Cricetulus griseus: one gene and its partner. The protein of the gene in region 2 interacts with the protein of the main gene of each other region in a pairwise test. Links are inferred from orthologs where the notes say so. Each region holds a gene or a part of one and is shown on either strand. Other genes may lie near its edges. The genes, in order: Lair1 and Ptpn6.

Region 1 (12,753 bases), on a different chromosome or scaffold from region 2:
ATAAACTACAACACCGGCAACAAGACAAAGCTTATGAGGAGAGCTATGTAGACCCCTTCTCCACCCTAAGTATGGATTCAAAGGGGTGATTTGCCCATCACTCAGCCGCAGACCATGAGAGAGACCTGAAGTGACAGGACAGGGGAAACAGGAAATACGGCAGAGGCCTTCCTAAATCCGTCCTGTTGAATACTGGTCCTTCCTTTGTAAACCCTGTCACTCGATCTGCACACAATAAACACTGAGAAACTCCTAGGAAGCTGTGGGAAGACATGGAAATGGACTATAACTTCTTTTTGTATCCTGACCCCAGTACAATGAGGCCTGACCACAGGCAGGCCATAAGAAAGCACTCCCAAGAGAATAGTCCAGCCCTGCCCGCCAGCCCTCCAGGGACTGACTGTATGACCCGCTTGGTGAGATGGTACCACTCCAGAGGAGATATATTCCTTCAGCCCCCAAGGGCTCAGACTCAGTGGAAGGACAGGATAAATCACCAAGCCCGGTGGAAAGAAAAGAAAACATGTATTCCCAGAAAGGAGTCTACACCCACCATTGCTGGAGCTCAGTCCCTACCCAGTAATCAGGAATAACTCAGTGTCCTACCCCCAGACTGTATCCAAGTCATTCATGGGGGCTGGTAAGAATGCAGAAATCTGGGGGTTAAGGACAGAGGGGACCTGTGCAGAGGCAGGTGGGAGAAAGGAGCCTCGGGTTAAGAAAAAGAAGGGGAAGTTGAGGCAGGGGAGAGCAGCTAAGGTTCAAGTCCAGAGACCTGGGAACAAACCTGAGGTCACTGCTGGGCCTGGGTCTGGAGCCTGAGTGACATCTTCTCTGGTTACCATCAGCTCCAGGATCTCACTGCGTGGGGACCAGTTGGACCCTTTCTCATAAATACAGGAGTAGCGTCCAGCAAAGCTTTCATCCACTGGGCCAAGGTGGAATCTAGCCTCTGTCATGGAATGGAGAGTGTTCTCCTCATCCTTGACTTTCATGTTATTCCTCTCCAGGCGGAATACATCATACCCACTAGGGTTTGAGCACACAAAGGTTACAGTATGCCCTAGGGGGATGCTAAGGCCTGGCTCAGCAGAGATGGAAGGAGCCGACAGAGATCCTAGGAGAGAGCAGAGCAGGAATCTCAGTGTACACAGGCAGGACATTGTCACAACACAAAACCAATTTAGGCACATCAGTCTATATTCCTACCAAGTTTAGAGTTCTCCACTCATGACCAAAGTGCACCTTCATAACACCCTCACTTTCTCTGTGCATTTGAATGCCCATCACATGACACCAAGGAACCTAAGCCTAAGCACATTTAGGTCTAGCAAAGACCCATCCAAGGAAATCTCAGAACATCCCAGACTGGACATGTCTGCTACAGAGCCCACTGCCTCACTGGGAACCACCTCATTCCAGGGAACTCTGCACTTTCTACCTCCATCTCCTTCTGTCCAGTCTGTTATTGGGGCTTTAAAAGCTCACCTGCTTCAAGCTGTCTGAATGTAGGAGCATCCCCAGAAAATCACAGATAAGTATACTTATGCCAAAAGACAAACTTAAGATGCTCACATTTATTGTGTTCAAGGTGATGTCTTGGTGTAACTTGTGGAACAGCTGGATCAAGATAATCAATGTGGATAAAATCACAAACTTACCTTTTTGTGAGGATAACATTCATCACACCCCTTGGCAATTTCCGAGATTACAAATGCATAGTTGCCAGTAGTCATGATGCATAATTGACCTCCTGCCCTCAGCAATGTGTAAACAAAATTTTCTGCCCTTAGACCAACATTTCCTAATCCTCTCTCCTTCCTTCACTCGTTCTTTCAACCATTTTTTGTATCTTAGTCATCATTTGGGGGTTGTTTTCTATGTTTCTATGGCCTCACATACACAAGGAACACAATTTCTTCCATTTGAAGCTAACATGGGAGGGAAGACTGGTGTAGAGAGAATAACTGTCCAGTACTGAGGCACAAAGACTTCAGAGAAGGTGAGGGGTGAGCATAGGAATCTCAAGTGACAAGGTGACATCAGAGGTGTCCTCCCTGAAATGACAGGGGAGAGATAGTTGCACTGAGACCCAAAAAACAGGAGTAAACACCCTGCGCCTAGCAGACAGGGACATGGAGAATCAAACACTGAGAAAACACTGTATAAAGTGCCTCTCAGAGGCCACAGACAGACTCTCTGCTACACAAGGAGAAGCAGTTCAAGAGCTCAGCTGCGGGATACACCAAGGATGATTAACACAAGGCCTCCTGTCCATCGGAGTCACTGAGAGCTTGATTTAAGTGCTTTCCACAAAGTGAAATGTGTGGGATGAATCATTACTAATTGGCTTGATTTGGTCATTCTCTAATATCTATTCATTTCCAAATATGAAGTCAGATATGGTAAACACATGCAATTTTTGTCATTCTAAAATTCATCCTATGAGATACCCCAGAGTGTCGTGGATGCCTGGAGTGTTTAGGGAAAGTGGAAGAAGGTTGAAGAACCTAGAGACAAGCAAGCCTCATAGGACAAGAGGATCAAATGTGAGGGCCATCTGGCTGCGACATCTGTCACCCCACTGATGGCCAGGGTTGATTCGTCTGATCTGGCTGCCTAGGCGGGTGTCCCCTTCCTCCCTCACCAATCCATGTTTGGCCCTCCCGAAGCTTCTGCTGCTCCCCTAATAGAGGACAGGTCTTCAGTGAAGGGTATAGGAGTAGCTGCTCTCCCCTGCTAGAACCTCTAAACAAACCTCTCAAGGACAAAGGGAGTGGCTTAAGTCGGAGTCACCAGCTCTGAGAAACACAGTGGTCTGATTCTGTGTCAAAACAAACTATGGAGACTGAGACACATCCCACCTCAGGCCCAGGGTTCTCATCCAGGGCTCTAGCCTCTGACTGGCAAATGGGGCTCTCAGCCATCATGGAAGAAGTTTCTTTCTGCAGCACCTGGAGGCCATTAGAGCAAGCCTCCTCTGGTCAAAACGCAGAAAACAACGGATAATGGGGGCCCAATCCCAATGGATACATCTGCAGCACGCTTGTGTAACTAAGGCTCTGGGAACATCACAGAAGAGGGAACAGGAAGACTGTGAAATCCAGAAGACAAGGACATCTACAGTAAGAGTGTATCTTCCCAACATGACTGGGAGCTACACCCATGATGCCTCAATAATATGGCTGCCTAAACGTGTCCTGAACAAAGACAACACCAGTTGACATCCCAGCTTGCATGAGGGAAATCTCACAGGGCCCCTTGCCTCGATGAAGAGCTACAAGCATTTAATGACTGCTGAGAGAATCTATTTGGGAGGAATATCACAAGAAATATTGAAGGGTCTCCCTCCAGGCCACCCATGTGCACACGATCCTCTCCAAAGATGCCCATGGGTGTGGAAGCAGCCAAAGACAGGACTCACCTTTTACTGTGTCATCTGTCTGTCCCAGGCACAGCACTGAAAGAAAAGACCCAGTGAGAAAGACACTGAACACATGGTTTGTTTAGACATGAGAATCTAGGAAGGACTAGATGTAGGTGGGGACATCCAGCCTCCCATGATCACCCAACCATCCCTCCTCCCCATTAAAGTCAGAGTATAGTCCTCCTTCTATCTCTGAAAGAACTCTTAAACTACCCCCCAGGCCAGAGACAGAGACACAGACTCAAAATCCCAGGTATGCAACTGGGTCACACGTTCAAGTATGACTTGGGCTACAATGTGACTTGGACTACAGCCCAAGTATCTTAGTTAGACCATGTCCCAAAACCAAAAGTAAAATGGAGTTAATTCAGAGCCTAGCCCAATCGTCATCAGAGAGGCTTCCTCTGGCAGACAACAGGGGCAAATACAGAGACCCACAGCTGAACATTAGGTGGAGCTTGGAGAACCACGAGGGAGAGGAAGAGGAAATGCTGTAGGAGCCAGAGGGGTTGCGGACACCAGGAGAACAGGCCCACAGAATCAACAAAGCCGGTTCATGGGGCCTCACAGAGACTGAAACGGCTATCTCAGAACATACATGAGTCTGCATTAGGACCTCTGCATGTATGTTATGGTTGCTTTTCTTGGGGTTTTTGTGGGACTCCTAACAATGGAAGCAGGTGTGTCTCTGACTCCGTTGTCTGCCCTTGGGACTTTTTCCTCCTGCTGGGTTGCGTTGGCCGGCCTTGATATGAGGGTTTGTTCCTAGTCTTATTGCATCTTGCTATGCCATATTAGATTGATATCCCCTGTGAGAACTGCTCTTCTCTGAAAAGATACTGGAGGAGGAGTGGATGTAGAGGAAATGGAAAGTAGATGGGGGAGCCGGGGGAATGCAGGAAGGGAAAACTCCTGTCAGGATGTATTATATGAGAGAAACATAAATTTAAAAAATGGAAAAGGGTGCTCTCTCTCCTTCTCTCTTTCTTGTCTCTCTTTCTCTCTCCCTCTCTCTCTGTCTCTGTCACTGTCTCTCTCTCGAGCTCCCTCTCCTCTCTCTCTTATCTCTCTCTCTCCTCCCTCTCTCTCCCTCTCTCCCTCTCTCTCTCTGTCTCTATTGCTCTCTCTGTGTCTCTCTCTCCTCTCTCCTCTCTACTCTCTCTCTCCCTCTCCTCTCTCTCTCTTGTCTCTCTCCTACCTCTCTCTCTCTCTCTCTCTCTCTCTCTCTCTCTCTCTCTCTCTTCTACTCTCCTCTCTCCTTCTCTGCTCTTCTCTTCTCCCACCTACGCACGTTCTCTCTCTCTATGGTGACTGGCCATGGCGGTCAGCCATTAACCCTGTTTCTCTTCTTTCTTACTCTCTCTACTCTGCCAGGCCTATAATAAACTGGTTAATATGTCTAATAAAAATGGAAAAAAGTAAAATGAGTGCTGGGTTGGAGAGGGGAGGGGTCACAAGGTCTGCACTCCTAAGCTGAGGAGTTATTTACAGTTGATGGCTTCTGGGGAAGAGAGAATTTTCTCTAAGGGTGTGTGGCCTATGGTGGGTTGAACAAGCTCCAGCAGATGGCCCCATACTCTTGAGTATACAGGAAGCATGAATTATATTCATTGAATTATTAAGAAAAATAAAGGAGATGCAAAATCCGGGAGGAAGGGGTGGGTACAGAATTACAGGCAAAAATGGGGATGAATATGATCAAAACATATTACATGCATCTATGAAATTTTCAAAGAAATAACAAAAAGTGTATTTATCATTATGCCCATGGTTTAATGCATCCCTCTCCCCTACCTCATCTGAGCAGTTTCTGTTAGCAGTCGATAGAGATTAGCACGGAGACCCATAACTGCTCAAGATGTAGAGAATACCAGCCTACAGAATGCTCAGCCTTAAAGCGAACATACTACCATACATCTCCTCCTCCCAAGTCTCAGAGATCATTTAGGAAGAGGAGGGTGGGAAAAACATAAAAGCCAGAGGCAGTAGATGGTTTGGGGGACTACAGTGTATCCTGAACACAGCAGGGCAGCTGCACATACGAATTCACAACGCTTGTGACAGCGTGCACAAGACCTGTGCAAGCCCAGGCCAGACAAATACCAGAATTGAATGGATATTTAGGCACATGCTCCCTACTTTAGCCTTGGAGCTAATGGTAACTGCCGGCTGCTGGAAGAGGGAAAGTCAGTTTTCTTTAAGAGAGTAGCCCCGGGAACTCGGTGTAGTAGAGCAAACTTTTATCTCAGCATTTGTGAGGCAGAGGAAGCTCTATGAGTGAGATCCAGCCTGGCCAACATAGCTCCAGTGCTAGACTACACATGGCAATATTTGGGCAGCGCAAATTGGTCTTAAAGGGCTTCTTTTTTAATGGACACAAAGGAGCCGGGTGGTGGTGGTGCACACCTTTAATCCCAGCACTTGGGAGGCAGCAGAGGTAGGTGGGTCTCTGTGTGTTCAAGGCCAGCCCTGTGTACAAAGAGAGTTCCATGACAGCGACACAGAGAAAGCTTGTCTCAAGAAAACCAAAGTAAGTAAACTAAAAATGAAAATGGAAACAAAGTTGAGTGGGTCGGGAAGAAGGCGGGTCTTGAAAGAGTTGGGAGAGTCATTTAGGAAACTCAAAAAACTAATCCAAAAACGTTTTAAAAAGCAAATAATCTCTGAACAAGGGTGTTCAGTAACACTTATCATCTGTGATCTTAAAAAATAAAAGAAGGGCTTGGATTTATGGAATACTGTGATACTGCGCTTATTTAACATGCATTCAGCCCTTAGTTCAAACTCCAACACTGGGAAAAACAAATGTCCCCAGCTCATCTTCTCCTTCCAAACAGGCTCTTCCTAATTGATTTTTAAGGCTGAATTTGGCCACATGCCCCATCCCTGTTTCTAGCAACAAGTCTCCAAGGAGGAGATGGGTTGGAGAGACTCTCCTCCCAAGGTCTCCAGAATCTGCTTGGCATGAGTGGGGAATAGAACCCCCTTCCCCAAATCACCTGCCCCATGCCTCCATTTACCCCAGGACTCACCGAGGGCCAGCACCGTGGCAAGACAAAGTGACATGATTCGGGCTCCAGCAGCCTGACCAGGTCTGGAGCTGAAGCCCTGCAGCCGACACAGTAAGCAGGATGTGTGGACTGGAGCTAGTCGCAAGGTTTCTATATCAGTTTCCTCCCGTGAAGAGGAAGAGGTTTCTCCTCTGGGCTTCCACTCTTTCCCTTAGTCACTGACTCTTTGAGAAGGTATCAGATTCTGAGAATAACATCAGACCTCGGAGCTCAGGTGCAACCAAACTCATTGCTCAACACGTTTGTCTTGCTGTAAACATGTGAGACACAGAGGTATAAGATTTTACACATCAGTCCTTATTTTAGGAACAAATGACCATTGATCCTTGGGTAAGGTATTTCAACACCCAAAACCCCCATTTCATAATGTTTAAAATGAGAATCATCATAAAGTCTCCCCTCTCTGCTTCTCCTCTCTCTCTCACTCCCTCTCCTCTCTTTCTTGTCTCTCTCTCCCCTCCCTCTCTCTCCCTCTCTCTCCCCCTCTCTCTCTCTCTGTCTCTGTTGCTGATGTCTCTGTCTCTGATGTTACAATCTTTGTAAGAGCCCAAGCAGATATTTCACACATTAAATGTGTCCAGCTATGGACAATCACTTTTACTATTAAATAATACTGATGTGTGTGACTAGGAGTCAGAGGGCAACTTACTAAAGTTGATTCTTTCCCTCTACTACGTAGGCCCTAGGGATTGCACTCTGGTTTTTTAGGCTCAGAAGCAAACAGCTGTACCCACTGAGCCATCTCACTGACCCAGACCACATTTTTTAAGATTTATTTTTATTATGTGTGCATTGGCGTCTCACTTGTCTGTGTGGCTGTGTGAGGACGTCAGATGCCATGGAACTGGAGTTGCAGACAGTTGTTAGCTGCCAGATGGATGTTGAGAACTGAACCTAGGTCCTCTAAGTAACTGTCAGTGCTCTTAACCACTGAGCCATCTCTCCAGCCATGGATGATATTTTTAAGAGATAACAGGAGTGGAGAAATTGGATCTTTTTCATACTGTTAACAGGAACCCAGAGCGAATTAGTCAGGATCATTTTGGGGGACCTGTGGCTCTCCTTCCATGCCACTAGTGGGGGTAAAATGTATAAATCAGAGGGAAGAGAGCCCTTCCTCTTTGGAAATAGCATGAAGATTGCACAAAATAAGAAATTAAAAATAGAACCTGTGTAACAGGATGAAATAAGTATGGAAGTGATATGTCAGCAGTCGTGTAACCATTGCAACACTCTTCACAAGGGCTATGGTGGAGAAATAATTCCAAAGCGCACATGAAAAAGCGTGGTGTATGTACACAGTGGAACTGAGAAGATAATAATGATGCCGAAGGAAAAACAGCATAAGGCTGGACCTTCCAGAAATTCCTTGACCCAATGAAACCAACAACCCCAGAAGGGCAGGCACTGCATTGTTCCCCTCACATGAAGTATGTTAAGTAGACATATTCAAGCTGGACGTGCTGAGGCCTGCCTGAAATCCCTGAACTTGGGAGGATGAGGCAGGAGGATCACCGTGAGTACAAGGCCAGCTTGCACTACACAGTGAGTTCTGAGCCAGTCTATCTCAAAAACTGTAAAACGGATAAGAAGTCAAATTCATAAAAAGAAAAGTTCGTGATGTTGTCTACCAGAAGGAAAAAAAAATGGGGAAATTATTTATCAACAGAGAGTATTTTTAGTCAATCCATAAGAATGACTCTAAGATAACTTGATATTGAACCGCACAGTGAAAATGTTAAGAAAACAGATTTCTCCCTTTTCTCTTTCTTAGCTAGGTTTTCTATTGCTGCAATAAAACACCACGAGCAAAAGCAACTTGAGGAGGCCAGGGTTTGCTTCATCTTAGACTTTCAGGAAACACTATCCCTGAGGGAAATCAGGGCAGGAACTCAAAGCAGGAGCCTGGCGGCAGGAACTGAAGCAGAGCCTGGGAAGGAAGGCCTCTTATTGGCTTGCTCAGTCTTCTTTCTTATACAACCCAGAGCCATCAGACCAGGGGATGCACCTCCCGCTGTGGGCTAGGTCCACCCATATCCATCAATAATCAAGAAGATGACTCAGAACTTTACCCACAGGTCAGTCTGATGGGTGCTTTTTTCTTAATTGAGATTTTCTCTTCTCAAATTACTGTGGCTTGTGTCAAGCTGACAAAACACTAGCCAGCTCTCTTTCCATCTCCCCCTCCCATTCCTCCTTCCCTTTCCCTTCCCCCCTCTCTTTCTCTCTGTCTTTCTTTCTTTCTTTCTTTCTTTCTTTCTTCCGCTCTCTGTCCCCTCCCCCTCCCTCCCTCTCTATATTCTTGCAATACCATTGAAACCATTTTGGGCCAGAGTGACATAAACAAAATTCTAAAGGAACTGAATAGACAAGAGACAGACCCAGGGTTTGAGGATGAATGGATACCCTTATGTCAAAGCCAGAAAAGGCAGTGCTTTGCCTGCCACTAGCAAAGGGAGAAGAGAAGCATCCTCTCGTGGCGTCTCTAAGGTCTTCTGTTTCTGAAGACAGGCACGGTGACTCCTCAGTACCTTGCTCCCAACAGACACTGGTGGTTCTTGACTAAACAGCTTGTGCTCAGTCCCCGTCCTAACAAAGACCTAGCTCTGTGTAAGTAGCTCTGTTCTGAGCCTCTGAACATGGACAGGGAAGAAACAAAATTTGAACTCAGACCATTTAAACAGTCCAACCTGTAGCCCACACAGGTCCTGACCTTGCCATGGTCCTTCCTAACCACCCAAGGAGCTGGGATGGTAAAGCTCGTGTTGCCAAGCCCAGTTTTCCCAAATCAGCTCAGATGACCAAATACAACCAAATGATACTCAACGTGAAATGTATTTTATGTATTGAGGTTTAGTGGAAATCAAGCCTTTCTTTAAAAAAAAAGGGGGGGGAGGGTTGCAAGGAGGCTTTTGCCCTCCTTTACTTCTGTCAACTACATCACCAGGATGTGACTTACATACAGTCATTGTGGAACAGAATGAACTAACGCTAAGCAAAACACTAACCAAACATGAGAGTCAGAGTCTCTAGGAAGTTGCTGAGTTGCTAAATCAAAACTTGAAATTTTCCATCTTTGTAATTCCTCCTACTCTCTCCTTCCCTTCCTCTCTCCTTCCGTACTCCATCTTTTCTTTCTTCAGTAGTAAGGGATAAATGTAGGGTCTCCCACATGCCAGGAAAGCACTCTACCATTGAGTCATAGCTCCAAAACCCTTTAAACTTTTTTCTTGTAACATATTTTTCCCTTTGTTTTATGTGCATGAGTGTTTTGGCGGCATGTATGAAAATTTTAAAAATGTATTATGAACCAACTCCTAATGACATAGATTACCAGATATCTCAAGCCTCATCAGAGAAATTGTTAGAGTTTATGGAATAGAACTAAATATATTATATTTTGTACTTTTATTCATGTATATATTCCTCTTTAAATTTCTCCTTCTTTTTAAGACACGGTGTTATATAGCTAGGCAAGCCTTTAATTCACTATATAGTCAAGGATGACCTTGAATTCCAGATGTGCTTGCTTTTACCTCCCAAGTTATGAAATGACTGACATGTGCCACAAGCTGTGTTGGGTTTGTTTGTTTGTTTGTTTGTTTATACTCATGGAATCAAATTAGTGATGCCAAAATATTCTTAGATGAAAAGACATCCATTGGATCATGGCCAACCTACGATGGGTCACACCCTTAAAGTAAACTGGCTCTCCCTCTCATGGAAGCCATCAATTGCCAGTCAAACCTAAGCTACAAGTGGGACCTAAAGAGCTTTGCCCCATCCATACTGGACTTTTAACTGGCTTGATCTTGTACAGATCACCATAGTTCAGGACCTAATAGTCATGTCATGTCCAGCATTTCACAGGACCCCCTCCCATCCTCTGGTCCTTACACTCTATCTACCCCTCTTCCATGATGGTTCCTGAGCCTTGGGGGCAGGGACAAGTTGATATTGGTGTCCCATCTATGGCTGAGCACTCTAAGGTGGTTATTCTCAGTACTTTTCTCAGTTATGAGTGTAAACATCAGCCACTACATGCTGCAATGAGAAGTTTCTTTGACCAAGTTTGAGATCAGCACAAATTATAAGGCCATAAACACAAATATTGAAAGGTGCTTTGAAAGCATGTTCGTTTAGCAAAACAACTGTAAGTTCCTCCGCTAGGTGCTCTTACCTCCCTAGCCACAATTAGGGCTACAGTTATAGCTAGCTTCTAGCCATAGGTTTTGACTGTTTACAATACCTTCTCTCTCTCTCTCTCTCTCTCTCTCTCTCTCTCTCTCTCTCTCTCTCTGTGTGTGTGTGTGTGTGGTGTGTGTGTGTGTGCGTGCGTGCGTGCGTGCGTGCGTGCGTGCGTGCGTGCGTGTGTATTGATGCAACATTGGTGGAATCCATGAAAGCTGTACTTGGGCTTGTTTGCTCATGTCTTGGTGTGAGCTTAGCAGTTGTTATATGTGGTCTTAAATATCTTCATCTCATTGATTCCTACAATGCATTTTCCAAAATGATCAACTCCCACCGAGTGTAGTGTGTGGTCTGTCTGGTCGCCCCATGGCTTCACCAGCTGTTGAAGCTTCTCTGTTTTATCTTAGCTAAATCATTTTTTGGAATGGAACCTTCTTGCAGTTTTACTTTTTCAGGCCTGTGACTAACACGATTGAGACAACTTTCATATAATTTTTGCCATTTGGATATGCTTTGCATTTTTGAGAAGTCTTTCTCATTTCCTCTTTTTTCCCTAAGTGACTTATATTTTAGGTAAATAGGAAAAAGTTTCTTTTCTTGTCAAGCAAATAAATGGGTTCTGTGTCAACTCCATACATTGTGAATGCCAACTCCCATCTGACAGTTTTTGTTCTTACTGGCACATTTTAAAGAATAAAGTCCTTGAGTCCTACTGTGATCCAGTTCATATAATCTTATATTTTATTTTAACCCGAATCTCTTTCCTCTCCTCTCTCCTCTCCTCTCTTTTCTCTCTCTCCTCTCCTCTCTCCTCTCTCCTCTCTCCTCTCTCTCTGTTTCTGTCTCTGTCTCTGTCTCTCTCTCTCTCTCTGTGTGTGTGTGTGTGTGTGTGTGTGTGTGTGTGTGTGTGTGTGTGTGTGTTGCACGTGATATGCATTGCACATATAACAGATAATGTGGTATAACTGTCTTTCTGGGTCTGGTTTATTTTACTTACATGTAATAAACTCCAGACCCATCTATTTTCCTGAGAATGTTTCTCATTTCTCATGGGTTTTTTTTTCATCTTCATGGCTGAATAGAATCCCATTGTGTAAATACAAATATGTTTTTCATGTGTCTATTGGTGATTAGTGGGTACCCAGCTTCACCTGGCCAAGAGGACTCCCTCATGGGACAGAAAGAAATGACATTTTTGAATCCCAGTGTCACAACACTGGAGCCAAATATAAGACTCCAGCCCTTAAGAAGTTTCTCGAGATTGTAGGAACCAAAGGGGTCAAAGATATCACAAAAACACTCACTAGTCAACTAAACAGGGTTCATAGGGGCTTACAGAGACTGAACTGACAACCAGGGAGCCTGCATGGGACTGACCTAAGCACTCTGCATATATGTTATAGTTGTGTAGCTTGGTTCTCTTTGTGGGACCGCTAACAATGGGAACAGGGGCTGTCTCTGACTCTTTTACTGACTTTTGGTATTCTACTCTTCATAGTGGGTTGCCTTGCCCAGTCTTAATACATGTAGAGGTGCTAAGTCTTACCACATCTTTAATAACATGCTTTGTTGATACCCATGGGAGACCTGCCCCTTTCCAAAAAGAAACTAAAAAGGAGTGGGTTGGAGGTGGGATCTGGGGTCAGGGTAGGGACTTAGAGGATAGGAAGGAGGGGAATTGGAGGTTGAGATTTAAAATAAATAAATAGTTTCCTCTGCCTGGTGGGTCAGCCTCCAGCAGCACAGGACCCAAAGGGAATCCATAGAGTCAGCCTGCTAAGACATTTTTATCTGAGGCGGTAAGGAGAAAAGACACTCACACTCTCTCTCTCTTGATGGTTTCCTTCTTTATTCTTTTGTACTCTTCTTGTTCTCTATTTTTCTCTACAGCTTATATACCCCAGGAAAGTTTTTTCAGGCAACATAGGAATTCCAATGTGGTTACATTCTAATTTTCAAGTGAATGATTATAACAAACACAGGTTTAAAAAGTTTTTTTTTATCTCCCTTACATGATGAAAACAAAGTCATCCCAAGAACCCACATACAGAATAACAGAGTGTG
Region 2 (12,281 bases):
ACGGGCCTTTCTTCTGTGTGGTTCTGTGTTGCTGGGAGAGGGGCCCTGCGGCACACAGGTGATGGCCCCACCCATGCACCCCCTGGAGGGCCATAGCTCCAGGGAGCTATCATGTTGCTCACGCCCAGAGCGGTCCCTTTCTCTCCTCTTTGTTCTCCGCACTTTTCCGTTGTAATTATTTTTGTGGACTAATTCTGGCTTTGGTCTCCCAGACATCTACTGAGTCCCCGTAGGATAAGCTAACTTGTCACCCTCAACTGCTCCCAGCACTACCCTAGGACCCATGACACAGCAGGCCTTCAGGCCAGTGTGCTGCCCTTGCTTTTCCCGTGGTGGGAGCCAGCTTTTCCCAAGGTATGGCTGGCACACTCAATGGGACAGGAGATTCAAGTTATATATAAAGAACCCAGCTCTAGACAAAAGGAAAGGAAGGGGGACAAAATAGTAAAATGATCTTCAGGGACCAGATGAGGGCCTCAGCAGGGGGATGCCCTGCCCCCCTCCCCCCAAAAAAACATCGTGTGCTTCGGGAACTGTAGATCTGGGGAGGCTGGGCTAGATCAGTCCCTCCTAAAAAATCTTCCTAGTTGTTGGATCTAGCAACCAACAGCAGGTTGTATGGCAAATCTTTCTGGGGTGGACCCTGCTGAGTCTGGACGATAATGAGAACATGGACTCTGAAGGCCAGTGGTCCTGGAATGTTGAACAAGTTAATTTGATCTCCCTGTGTCTCAGTTTTCTCCACTGTAAAAGCAGGAAAATAAAGAGTACCCAGACTGAGAGCCAGGAGTATAGCTCAGGGAGAGAGCTGTTCACTACCTGGCATGAGGGAGGGCCTGAGCGTTGTCCCCAGTACCACAAAAAAATAAATAAAACAGAAACTAAAGTACCTAGGATTAATTAATTCTATAGTCTTTTAAATAGTGCCTGGGCCCATTGCCAGTGTGGAATGTAGCAGTGGCCATTGTTATTGGCACTCGCCGTATTGCCGTATCTTCACTCATGAGCTAACGAGGGCAGATGAATCCAGACCACCCTCTGCTGTAGAGACTGGAGAACTTGCCAAGCACATAGGAGGCCTAGGTTCTATCCCCAGCATGAGTGAGAGAGGGAGAACACAGAGCAGTCTAACTAAGCCTTAGGAATGCCACAGGCTGCTGTGTGAAGCAGCATCCAGAACCAGGTCTCTCTGAGCCACAAAGTTGAGCTTCTATGCAATCACACATAACATCCCGGTCCCACCCTGCCCAGAGTCCCAGGATACATGGGACACACAGAGTTGGAGGCAACACACAGTGGTCCAGGGGCTTTATTTACAAGAATAGAAGTCTGGCTTTGCCTGAAGACTTGCTGGGCTATATACAGGTTCAGAGGACCACAGCCATTTAAATACATGAGGATGGGGTGGTCCTAAGGTCTGGTGTGTGGGGGCCACAGGTCTTGATCTGCCCAGTGGAGGCCTCTGCAGGGATTGAGGCTGATGCTGATGCTGCAGATAAAAGAGAAAAAGTGGGTCAGAGGGTATCTGGGGCCTGGAGAGAGGGCACGAGAAGATCTGGGGACATCCTGGCAGGGTAGCATTAGATTGTGACCTCCCCACAGCATGTCAGAACTGCTGTGGGAGCAACTGGGGCAGGGAGAGAGAAGACTACGCAGAAGGGGCCTCACCATGGCCACCTGCAGTCGAAGGCCCAGCTCACTTCCTCTTGAGGGACCCTTTGCTCTTCTCCTTATCTGCTGACCGCTGCTTCTTCACTTTCTCTTCCTTCTTGTTCTTGCTGTGCACGTTTTCATACACCTCCTCCTTGTGTCTGGGAGGTGAGGGAGGAGGGGAGAAGACATTCAGAGACTCTGCAGACCCTCCACACTCCCTCTCACTCAGTGAAGCCAGGAAAGCTTAGATAACCTGCTCACTGTCCATTCACTAGACCCAAAGCTCCCAGGACACAGACTACACTCACGCATGTGTCCACAGCTGGGCCATAGCATGGGCCCACACAGAGTAACAACGCACACTTCAGAAAATACTTAAGAGGGCTGGAGAGATGGCTCAGAGGTTAAGAGCACTGGCTGCTCTTCCAGAGGTCCTGAGTTCAATTCCCAGCAACCACATGGTGGCTCACTACCATCTGTAATGGGGTCTGATGCCCTCTTCTGGCCTGCAGATAGAGCACTAATATACATAAAATAAATAATTAAAAAAAAAAAAAGAAAATACTTAAGAACAGAGGTACTAGGAAGAAGGTTGACCTCGAACCAGGGTCTCTCCAACTTCCACACTGGTCCACTCCAGAAAGGACAGTTAAGGCTAGGCAGGAGAAGGGAGAAGATGTTGTGAGGGCAAGCAGGACCACTCACTTGGAAGAGGTACGGGAGGCCTTGGCGTGGGCACTCTTCATAGCGGGAGGGTAGGTGATATTCCCATACTCCGACTCCTGGCCCTTCCGGGACTGTGGGCAAAGGTGTGGTGGGAGGATGGTAGTACCAGCACGACTGGGTGATGCCCACTCTCCCCTACCACCCATCAGCCCCACTCTGCACACACTTGTATGATCTCCAGTTTCTTCTTGGTCGTTTCAATGAACTGGGCAATGGCCACATAAATGAACTTGTACTGTGCCTCTGTCTGCACCATGCCAGAGCGCTGTGCCCGTACCATCTGGATGGTCTTCTGGATGTCAATGTCACAGTCTAGCCCTGGACAAGGGTGGCAGTGGGACTTCAGGGTAGGCGAAGGTCAAGGGACTGCTTGCCCCTCCCCCACACCCACTCTCGTTCCCCAGGATCCTCACCCTTGGTGGAAATACTCTCCATGAGCATGTCAATGACAATGATGGTGCCTGTTCGGCCAATGCCAGCACTGCAGAGAGAAGGCACCGCCATCAGAGGCCCAGCTCTGCCCAGGAAATGGGGAGGCCAGGGGTTAACCCCAGCACTAGGTAAGGTGTGAAGAATCCAAAGCTCCAGCCACAAGGGTCGGTAATGTACCCAGGTCATTAGGCCAGCGAAGCAGGTGTATGCCCGTCTCTGCTCCCATTCCTCTGCCCCAGTCACAGGATGGACAAGCAGGTGCCAGTTTCCGGGCTAGAGATATCATTTCCCTCCTTCGCAGCATTTGTCCCCAACTTTCTGTTCCCACCCTTCACTCTTCCTAACTGACGGCTATCCTCATCCCTTGGAAAAACAGAACTCCACACCATGCCATTGTCCTGCCTGCTCCTCAGGGCATTCCAACCTTCAAGAGTTACATTCGGAGTGGGGCATTGGTGGTGCACACCTTTAATCCCAGCACTCGGGAGGCAGAAGCAGGTGGATCCACCGAGTTTGAGACCAACCTGGTCTACAGGGTGAGTTCCAGAACAGCCAAGGCTACAACAACACAGTGAAATCCTGTCTCAAAAAACAAAAAAAAGAGTTCCATTTGGAACTAGGCATGGTGGCATATGATTTTAATTCCTGCACTCAGGAGGCCAGCCCAGTCTACACAGAAAGACACAAACAAATTACATTTTGGATGAGTGTGGTGGCTCGGTGGCCATCATGCAAGCAAGCCTGAGAACCTGGTATCAGATCCCCAGTGTACACAAAAAGGCCAGGCACAGTGGCCATATAATCCCATTACTAGGAGGTTAGGTTAGCTCATTGGCCAGCCAGCCAAACTGAAGTGATAAGCTCCAGGTTCAGTGAGAGACCCTATCTCAAAAAATAATGTGGAGAGCCTGGTGTGTTAATGCCAGTACTGAGGATGCAGACAGAAGTTGACTGTGAGTTTGAGGCCTACTTGGTCTACCTAGCAAGCTCTAGGCCACTGAGCCACATAGAATGAGAGACACATACACTATAGACAGACAGACAGACAGACAGATACAAGTATAGATATATAGATAGGAGAGACCATATAAAAACACTAGGACCTCTGGCCTCCACAGAAATGCCCACACATGTACACACACCACACACAGACACACACACACATAGTTACATTTTACTTAGGGTATGCCTCGGTGGTAAAGCATGTGTTTCACATGCTTAAGAACCTGGGGTCCTATCCCTAGAAACACACACACACACACACACACACACACACACACACACACACACTATACACGGGGTGGGGGGGCATTTGTCCTTTCTTTTTTTTTTTTTTTTTTTTTTTGGTTTTTCGAGACAGGGTTTCTCTGGCTTTGGAGCCTATCCTGGCAGTCGCTCTGGAGACCAGGCTGGCCTCGAACTCACAGAGATCCTCTGTGAGTTCTCTGCCTCCCGAGTGCTGGGATTAAAGGCATGCGCCACCAACGCCCAGCTGTCCTTTCTCTCTGTGGAACTTCCTTTCTCTTTTCTTCGACATGGCAAAACTGTAGGGGCTGGCCCAGGACACGTGCAGCAGAGAAAGTGCAGTAGCATGCCTCCCTTTTCCAATGCCCTCTACCCCCACCCCCCACCTCCCACACCCTGAGGAAACAGATGATGCAGACCCCGGACCTGCCTACAGTCCAGTCCATGAGGCTGGTATCGAAAGTTGAGCTGTCTAATTTCAAACCCAGATTGTCAAAAATAAACCCCATACCACTTCCTTCCTGTAATTTCTAAATAAAGGCCATGGGGATTTCAAGAACTGTGTGAATGGGGGAGGGGTAGGAGAAAGGTAGTTCTTGGGGATGAGCTGTCCCTGAGATGGTAGAGTGCAGAGCTTGGCCCCCAAGACAGTATGGGGGTACTCCCAGCCTAGCTGCAGGACAGTTGTTAGTGGGGGAAGGAGGAAGTCTGAAGCTTCCACAGGCCTCGGGTTACAGGGACAGAGGAGGAAGGGGACAAAATTGGTTCCTGTTTCTCCAGATCGTACATAAGAAGCCATCAATGGTGTACACACAGAAACACATACACACACTACTGACATACATACATACATAAACACACATGGACACACACACACAGATATACGCGTACATATATCCATACATACCCAGACACAGAGATAATACACATATGCATAGAGACATACGCACAGGCAAGCACAAAGACACAGATATACACACAGATGCACAGAAACTTTTTTTTTTAAGACAGGTCTTTTTTTTTTTTTTTTTTTCTGGCTTTTCAAGACAGGGTTTCTCTGTGTAGCTTTGGAGCCTATCCTGGCACTCGCTCTGGAGACCATGCTGGTCTTGAACTCACAGAGATCCGCCTGCCTCTGCCTCCCAAGGTCTTATGCCTGGTGTAGCAGCACAGGCCTTTAATCCCAGCACTGGGGAGTCAGGGCCAGACAGATTCCTGTGAGTTCGAGGCCAACCTGGTTTACAAAGTGAGTTTAGGAGAGCCAGGGCTGTTACACAAAGAAGTCCTGTCAAGAAAAGGAAGGAAGGAAGGAAGGAAGGAAGGAAGGAAGGAAGGAAGGAAGGAAGGAAGGAAAGAAGAAAAGATCTTACTTATATGGCCTGGATCTCACGACACTCCTGTCTCAGCTTCCCAAACGCTAGACTACAAGTTTAGCCACCATGCCCAGCAATGGCAGTGACAAGGACCCACAACCGGGTCCACCCACAGGCCTGGAGTAGTGAAGGAGCCCGGAAGACATTGAGGGTAAGGGAAGGCATTCAGTGAGTCCCTATCTGTGTTGCTGACCGCTTGTCAGCTGCTGTTTTGGGCGGGGAGTGGGGGGCAGGTGGGGGGTGTGGCCTGCATGAATGTCTGTCCGCCATGTGCATGAGTGCCCTTGTAGGTTATAGGGGTGTTGAATCCCCTGGCACTGAAGTAATAGAAGGTTATATACATCACTGTGTAGGTGCTGGGCACCTCTGTAGCCCCAGCTGCTGTGTTTTTACACCGCACCCATGTTAGATCTCTTACCTGCAATGCACAATGATAGGCCCTGCGTGAGGCAAGCGTTCCTGTCGCTGGTTGATCTGGTCCAGGAAGCTGAGAACACCCCCAGGCTCACTGGGGACCCCATGGTCAGGCCAGCTCAGGTACTGGTAGTGCCATATCTCCCGAACCAGGTCCCCCTAGGCCAAGGACAGAGTCAGTACTTGCTGCTTCCACACAATATCCCTGTCCCACCCACCCAAACTAGAGCACAGATTTGAGGCGAGGCCCCCTGGAGTGTGCAGGGACTGGGGACACTCACATTGTCCAGTGGGGAGATCTGTAAAGTGCGAAGTTTGTATTCTGCGGTGTCATGCTCTCCACAGTTGGTCACAGAGTAGAGCCCATAGACTCGCTGAGTGCCCACCTCTGGCCAGTATGGAACACATTTGTTCTGAAAAGAGAGATGGGAAGGGATAAAGCACAGAGCTTTCCGGGGCTTTCTGGGCCCCAAGGCCTAGTGAGGTTTTTGGGTTTTTTGGCACAGGTGTATAGGCACAAACGTGGGGGCAGGGTGAGATGTGGAGGCAGAAGACCGATGCTGGGAGTCACCCTCCATCACTCTTCCACCGTATTCACTGAGGCAGGATGTCTCAGTCAAACCCAGAGCTCGCTAATATGGCAAGTCTTGCCAGCCAGCTTCTCTGGGGATCCCCTGTATCCTCCTTCCAAAGCTGGAATTGTGAGTAAGCCCCTCTGCCCACCCAGAATGTACAATAGTTCCTGAGGACCCGAACTCCAGCCCTCACGCTTTCATGCAAATGCTCCCCAACTGAGGCTTCTCCCCACCCCTCACCGGACGTTTTTTAAAGATGGATGAGCCCACTCAAAATCAGACCTGGGATCTGGCCTCAGGCTAACCACCTCTAGATAAGACCTGATCAGACATCTAACCGTATAATCTATCCAGTGACCACTGACGCTGTACCTACCGAGCTGTGGTTCAGACTCAAGTAAGAGACAGAGACAGTGGGCACAGTTCAGCAAGAGCGCATGTGCTTAGCGTGTACAAAGCTAGGAGTTCCATCCCTAGCACTACAAAACCCAGAAGACCAAGTCAGACAGTGTCCGTGTCCTAGGACAAGGGGCGATGCAGGTAACACAGACAGACAGAGCATGTCTGAGGAGCAGGGGGCTAGGGAAGGAGCCAGTTCTCCCGCAGGGCTATGGAGGCAATGCAGGATAGTCTGGGAGGCATGGCGGTCCAGGAGAGCCATTTCCTAGCAAAAACCGCCTCGTGCCTTCAGAAGCTGACACACTCAGACCAGCAGAGGAGATGTGCTTTACAGAGAAGCATGAGGATTGGAAGGAAGCCACCAGGCTTGCAGGGACAGTTCTTCATCCCAGAAGCAACTGGGAGCCACAGAAGGATTTTCAAAGAAAGCAGCTGGACGCTGTGTGCTTCTGGTAGGAAAACCTCCCACTGCACAAAGGGGCTGACATTTAAAGCTTCTGTGGTGCTGAGGATAGAACCCAGGGTTCCTGTACCGGGCAAGTGCAATGCCACTGGGCTATATCATCACTTCGGAGCATCCGGAGCTCAGGAGACCTGGGGTGCCCAGGAGTCACAGTGTATAGTGGAGACTTTATGTCAGGCCTCCATTTCCTAAGAGGTACTGGGCCTTTGCCACTGAGGTGTGTATGTGTAAGTTAGATTTCTGTGTGAGTGTACATGTATAGGGACACATTGACTACACACCATGCATGCAGCAGTCAGAGGACAGTTTGCAGAAGTCAGTTCTCTCCTACCTGGGTCCCAGGGATTGAACTCATGATGCCAGGCTTGGCCACAAGCACATGGTTTGTGAGCCATCTCACAAGCCCCTGATCTTACTTGTGTGTGGTGGTGAACAAGGACTGAGGAGGAAAATGTAGGGGTCAGGAAGGTGAGGTTTGCCCTACCCGGCCTTTCTCCACCTCTCGGGTGGTCATGACGATGATTCGGGTGTTCTCCTGCCAGACCATCTGCCAGAAGTCATTGACTGTGGCCTCCAGACAGCCCTGGCTGGCGATGTAGGTCTTAGAGTTCTCATCTGGACCTAGCAGCTGGTTCTAGATGCAAGCACAGAGAGACCCAGCCCGGGACTGTGAATTGCTGGGCATAAGATGTGCCCGTACCACAGTCACCCCTACCAAGGTACCAGCTCGTTTTCCCCAGAGGCACTGTACCCGGGGACCCTAACACACCTGGAGCTCTCAGGGACATGTCTGTCCCACACGGCTCACCCCACTCACCCTGACATAGTTAGCATTGATGTAGTCGGACCCAGGGATGTTACTGTCACGTCCCTGCAGAATCACTCGGCTATGGTCAACTGGCATGGGGAGAGAAGAAACAGCTTGGGCCACACCCTTGGGAAGGGGCAGACCCTTCCCAAGCTCTCAACTGTTCTTGTCTCCAAAGTCATAAACTCATAGAGGATAGGACAGCAGGTAGGGACAAATGCCTCTGGAGTGGGGGGGTGGGGGAGACAGAGGCTTTGTGAGCAGAGGTTGGCAGGGCAAGCATTATTGCCCGATGGCTGCGGAGAGGCTCTTGGAAAGTGAGGAGGCTTCCTGGGAAAGGAGAGCTCTGCTGGGCAGTGAGAGGCAGAGCTTCTGAGGAGAGGATGGGATACGTAGTGGGGGGACAGTGAGGGGCAGAGCTTCTGAGAGGATGGGATGGGTAGGGGTCTGCGGGGGCATGAGGGGCGGAGCCATAGTGCTCACAGGGAAGGATGTTCTTGTAGCGGTTCTTGCTCTTGTTTTCTGGCCGCTGCCCTTCCAGGCGCTGGTGCAAGTTCTTTACCTCCTGCTTTTGCAGACTCTGAAATGTGAGAGAAATGAGCCCCCGCCCCGGGGCACATCCACAGGTGGAGAAGTCATAGGTCAGAGCCACGTCAGAGGCACACAAAGAGGGCAAGGTGACCCAGCCTCACTGTCCCCAGAACACACCTCAAACTCTTCCCAGAAGCCGGCCTTGGCTGTGTCCTCTGACTCCTGCTTCTTGTTCAGTTCCAAGACCCGGTTTTCGATGTCAGCAGCATTTACCCGAGTGGCATAGTAAGGCTAGGATGACAAAGGGCAGGAAGTCATCGGCTAAGAGACCTCAGAAGCCCACATCTTCGATGGCTCAGGGGAAAGCAAGAGGCAAGATGCTGGCCCCTCACCTGCCGCAGGTAGACAAAGGCACCTGAAGCCTCCTCAATCCCAGTCTTCCTGAAGTGCTCCACCAGGTCTGTGAGGCTGTCAAATGTCTCTGAGCCACCCACAGTATAGCGTCCACCCTGAAGGACACCAAGTAGGGCCACCCGTCAGGGCCGAGTCCCCCTTCTGGCACTCCCAGTCTTAAATCCAACCCAAGAAGACCCTCCCACTGAAGGTCCGGCATGAGGCCTTCCCCACAGCCCAGCTGACTTACCTCACACATCACCTTGATGTGCGTGACCTTGAGTGGAGAGCCTGGGCCAGCTTTGGGCTGGTCATTGAGCACGGACAGCACGAAGTCACCAGGCTGGCTGAGACTCTCACGCACAAGAAATGTCCAGGGCTCACCCTTGGCCTGCAGCAGTGTCTCTGCCTGCCCTCCAGACATGTGGCCATGGTACCACCTAGGGACGTTGAAAAGATGGTGGGCAGGTCCCACAGTGAGCACTGACACCCGCTACCTTCCAGGCCTGAGCTACAAGCTTTCAAATCCACCACGACGTTTAGATCCATTACATCTCACAAAAATGCTGTGAGGAAAAAGCCAGGCTTGGAGCTAGAATCCCAGCTCCTCAGGAAACATGAGAATAGTAGTAAATTTGAGGCCAGCATGATCTACGTTGGGACACACACCTTTAATCCCAGCCCTCAGAGGCAGAAGCAGGTGGATCTACAGAGTGAGTTCCAGGATAGCCACAGAGAAATCCTGTCTCAAAAAACAAATAAACAAACAAACAAAAAACCTGCCTGCTTCTATTTCTATAAATAAATAAGTGGGTTATGATGGCTTGCTTTTATTTTGTTTGTTTTTTTGGAGATAGTGTTTCTCTATGTAGCCCTAGCTCACATTTATAATCCCAGCATTCAAGAGGCTGAATGGCCTCAATGAGGCCAGCCTGCTCTACATGGTAACTTTCAGGCCAACTTGAGCTACAGAGTAAGTAAGACCCTATCTCTGGGACCTGGAGAGATGGCTCAGAGGTTAAGAGCACCGAATGCTCTTCCAGAGGTCCTGAGTTCAGTTCCCAGCAACCACATGGTGGCTCACAACCATCCGTTATGAGATCTGGTGCCCTCTTCTGGTGTGCAGATATACATGGAAACAGAATGTTGTATACATAATAAATAAATAAAATCTTTAAAAAAAAAAAAAAGATCCTATCTCCAAAACAAACAGCCAGGCGTGGTGACACATAACCTGTAACTCCAGCCCTGGGTTGGCAGAGATAAGAGGATAACTGTAAGTTTGAGGCTAGCCTGGTCTACATAATGAGTTAGTTCCAAGCTAACCTGAGCTACAGAGTAAAATTCTGTCTCAAAAAAAGAAACAGCAGAGCTGGGCAGTGGTGGCTCACGCCTTTAGTCCCAGCACTTGGCAGGCAGATCTCTGTGAGTTTGAGGCCAGCCTGGTCTGCAAAGTGAGTTGGAAGGAAGGAAGGAAGAAAGGGAGGGAGGGAGGGAGAGAGGGAGGGAAAAAGAAAGAAAAGATGTGAGAAAGAAAAAAGTGAGATGGCTGAGGGTAAGAATTTTTGCTATCAAGCCCACAACCCAAGTTCGATCCCCAGGACCCACATGGTAGAGGGAGAGAACCAACTCTGATAGGTTGTCTTCTGATCTCTCTGCACACACTAAGACACATAAGTTCTATAACAAAAATCTTTTAAACAATGAAACAAAACAAAAGCTGAGAGATTGCCATTTCCCCAACTTTACAATAAGAAAATGGAGGTCAAGCACTTGCACACTGGTCCTAGGTCCTAAACTGATAAGCGAAAAGGCTCCACAGAGTTCACACCATGGAGACTGGGGCTATAGCTCAGTGGGAATGGAAGACCCTGGGTTCCATCCCCAGCACTGAAATCAAGGGAGAAGGGAGGGAAGGGGGATGTTCTAACAAAAATCCAGAGCCTCTTCTGAGTGTTTACAATGAACAGGCAAGTAAAACCCAGAACATTTGGAGGGACAAAAAGACTCATCCCCATGAAATGCAGACTTGGACTGGGTTAAAGGAGGGACAGTAAAATGTAGATGGACCCAAAGCACAGAAGGCAGTGGTTGAGGTGACAGAAGTCGGGAAGGACCAATGGTAAACTCCGGAGTGATGTGGGGACACAAACACTTGACTGAGAGGGTAGTCTCAGGGTTCCGGGGAGCCCAGGATGGTGTGAGTGAAGGGCTCAGAGGGGCTGTAGGGCAGAAAGCAGAACTAAGGACCTTTCCGTGAAGCGCCCCTTCCCAGGAGGAAACTGTAGCCCCACAATGCCTAGCCTCACAGGAAACCACGTGATGGAAAAAATACAAAACTCCTTCTGGGGAGAGAGTGAGAAGTGAGGTGGTGAGGTTTCTTCAGCTTAGGGACAGAGGGGGGGGCAGCATTTTCCAACCGCAAGGATTGGGGTGGGGAGAGTGGGGCTCAGTCCTGATCCTTCTCAACTCTGCCCAGAGGACACCATAGCTCAGGGCCCTTCAGAGGCTCCTACCCCAACCCAGATGTCCTGGGCTACCCCAGCCTATCTCGGAGACAGCCCAGGGCCCCCAAGCAATGTGAGGGGGCTCAGCTCCTTCCCTCAGGGACAGGATGAGGAAGTCTCCATGCAAATGTGAACTGACCACAGGCAGAGTTCACCACTGAGGGGACAAATGCAAATTTCCCAGAAGAGGCAGGGCAAGGACACAAGGAGTATTGGGCCATGGCTTCCGCACACCCTAGAGTTAGGGATGAAACTGAGCTTCTGGGTCATCCAAAGTGCCTCTTGGAGTCATCCAAACCCCTCAGTGGTCTGTCACCCATGTAGTGTTGCATGCTTCCCCTGTCTGTCCTACCCTGCTTCCCTGACACCCGTCAGCTCCCCCCTCCTCCCCTATCACAGTGAACATACCAGCTACAATTCTGCTATGCCTCCACAGTCCGTGTCCTCTAACACAGCAGATCCTGGCTTGACAGCAACAAGGGGAGACAAGGAGGTAAAAGAGCATCCAAGAGGCCAAACCACCTTAAGTGTTGCAGGTAGGAGGGGGAAGGAGAGAGCATGAGGCATGCCCTTCCTTTCCATCCACCACCAGAGGAGAAAAGCCTTCAAGGAAGTGTAGACCAGCCTCTTCGTGTTGGCTGGAAAGGGATCTCCAGAGGTGAACCACAGGGGCTTTTACCCCAATCATTCAAGTTCTACCTTTGTTTGTTTGTTTGTTTCAGTTTTTTAAGTCAAGGGTTTCGTAGCCCAGGCTAGCCTCAA

What was found.
Region 1: the proteins of Ptpn6 (region 2) and Lair1 interact in binary tests that used the Homo sapiens proteins (3 or more experiments, as listed by UniProt). The link is inferred for Cricetulus griseus from reciprocal best matches to the Homo sapiens genes PTPN6 and LAIR1.

What each region holds. Positions count from the first base shown.
Region 1 is NC_048602.1:22,317,463-22,330,215, forward strand, and holds the start of Lair1 (leukocyte-associated immunoglobulin-like receptor 1), read right to left. Parts: upstream 6,494-12,753; coding exon 6,460-6,493; intron 3,461-6,459; coding exon 3,425-3,460; intron 2,981-3,424; coding exon 2,865-2,980; intron 2,687-2,864; coding exon 2,586-2,686; intron 1,030-2,585; coding exon 788-1,029; intron 1-787. UniProt on the Homo sapiens protein: Functions as an inhibitory receptor that plays a constitutive negative regulatory role on cytolytic function of natural killer (NK) cells, B-cells and T-cells.
Region 2 is NC_048601.1:21,676,281-21,688,561, reverse strand, and holds the end of Ptpn6 (tyrosine-protein phosphatase non-receptor type 6), read right to left. Parts: intron 9,453-12,281; coding exon 9,263-9,452; intron 9,129-9,262; coding exon 9,012-9,128; intron 8,911-9,011; coding exon 8,797-8,910; intron 8,669-8,796; coding exon 8,572-8,668; intron 8,178-8,571; coding exon 8,098-8,177; intron 7,915-8,097; coding exon 7,765-7,914; intron 6,257-7,764; coding exon 6,125-6,256; intron 6,003-6,124; coding exon 5,848-6,002; intron 2,861-5,847; coding exon 2,793-2,860; intron 2,698-2,792; coding exon 2,546-2,697; intron 2,451-2,545; coding exon 2,359-2,450; intron 1,812-2,358; coding exon 1,697-1,811; 3' UTR 1,669-1,696; intron 1,490-1,668; 3' UTR 1,294-1,489; downstream 1-1,293. UniProt on the Homo sapiens protein: Tyrosine phosphatase enzyme that plays important roles in controlling immune signaling pathways and fundamental physiological processes such as hematopoiesis.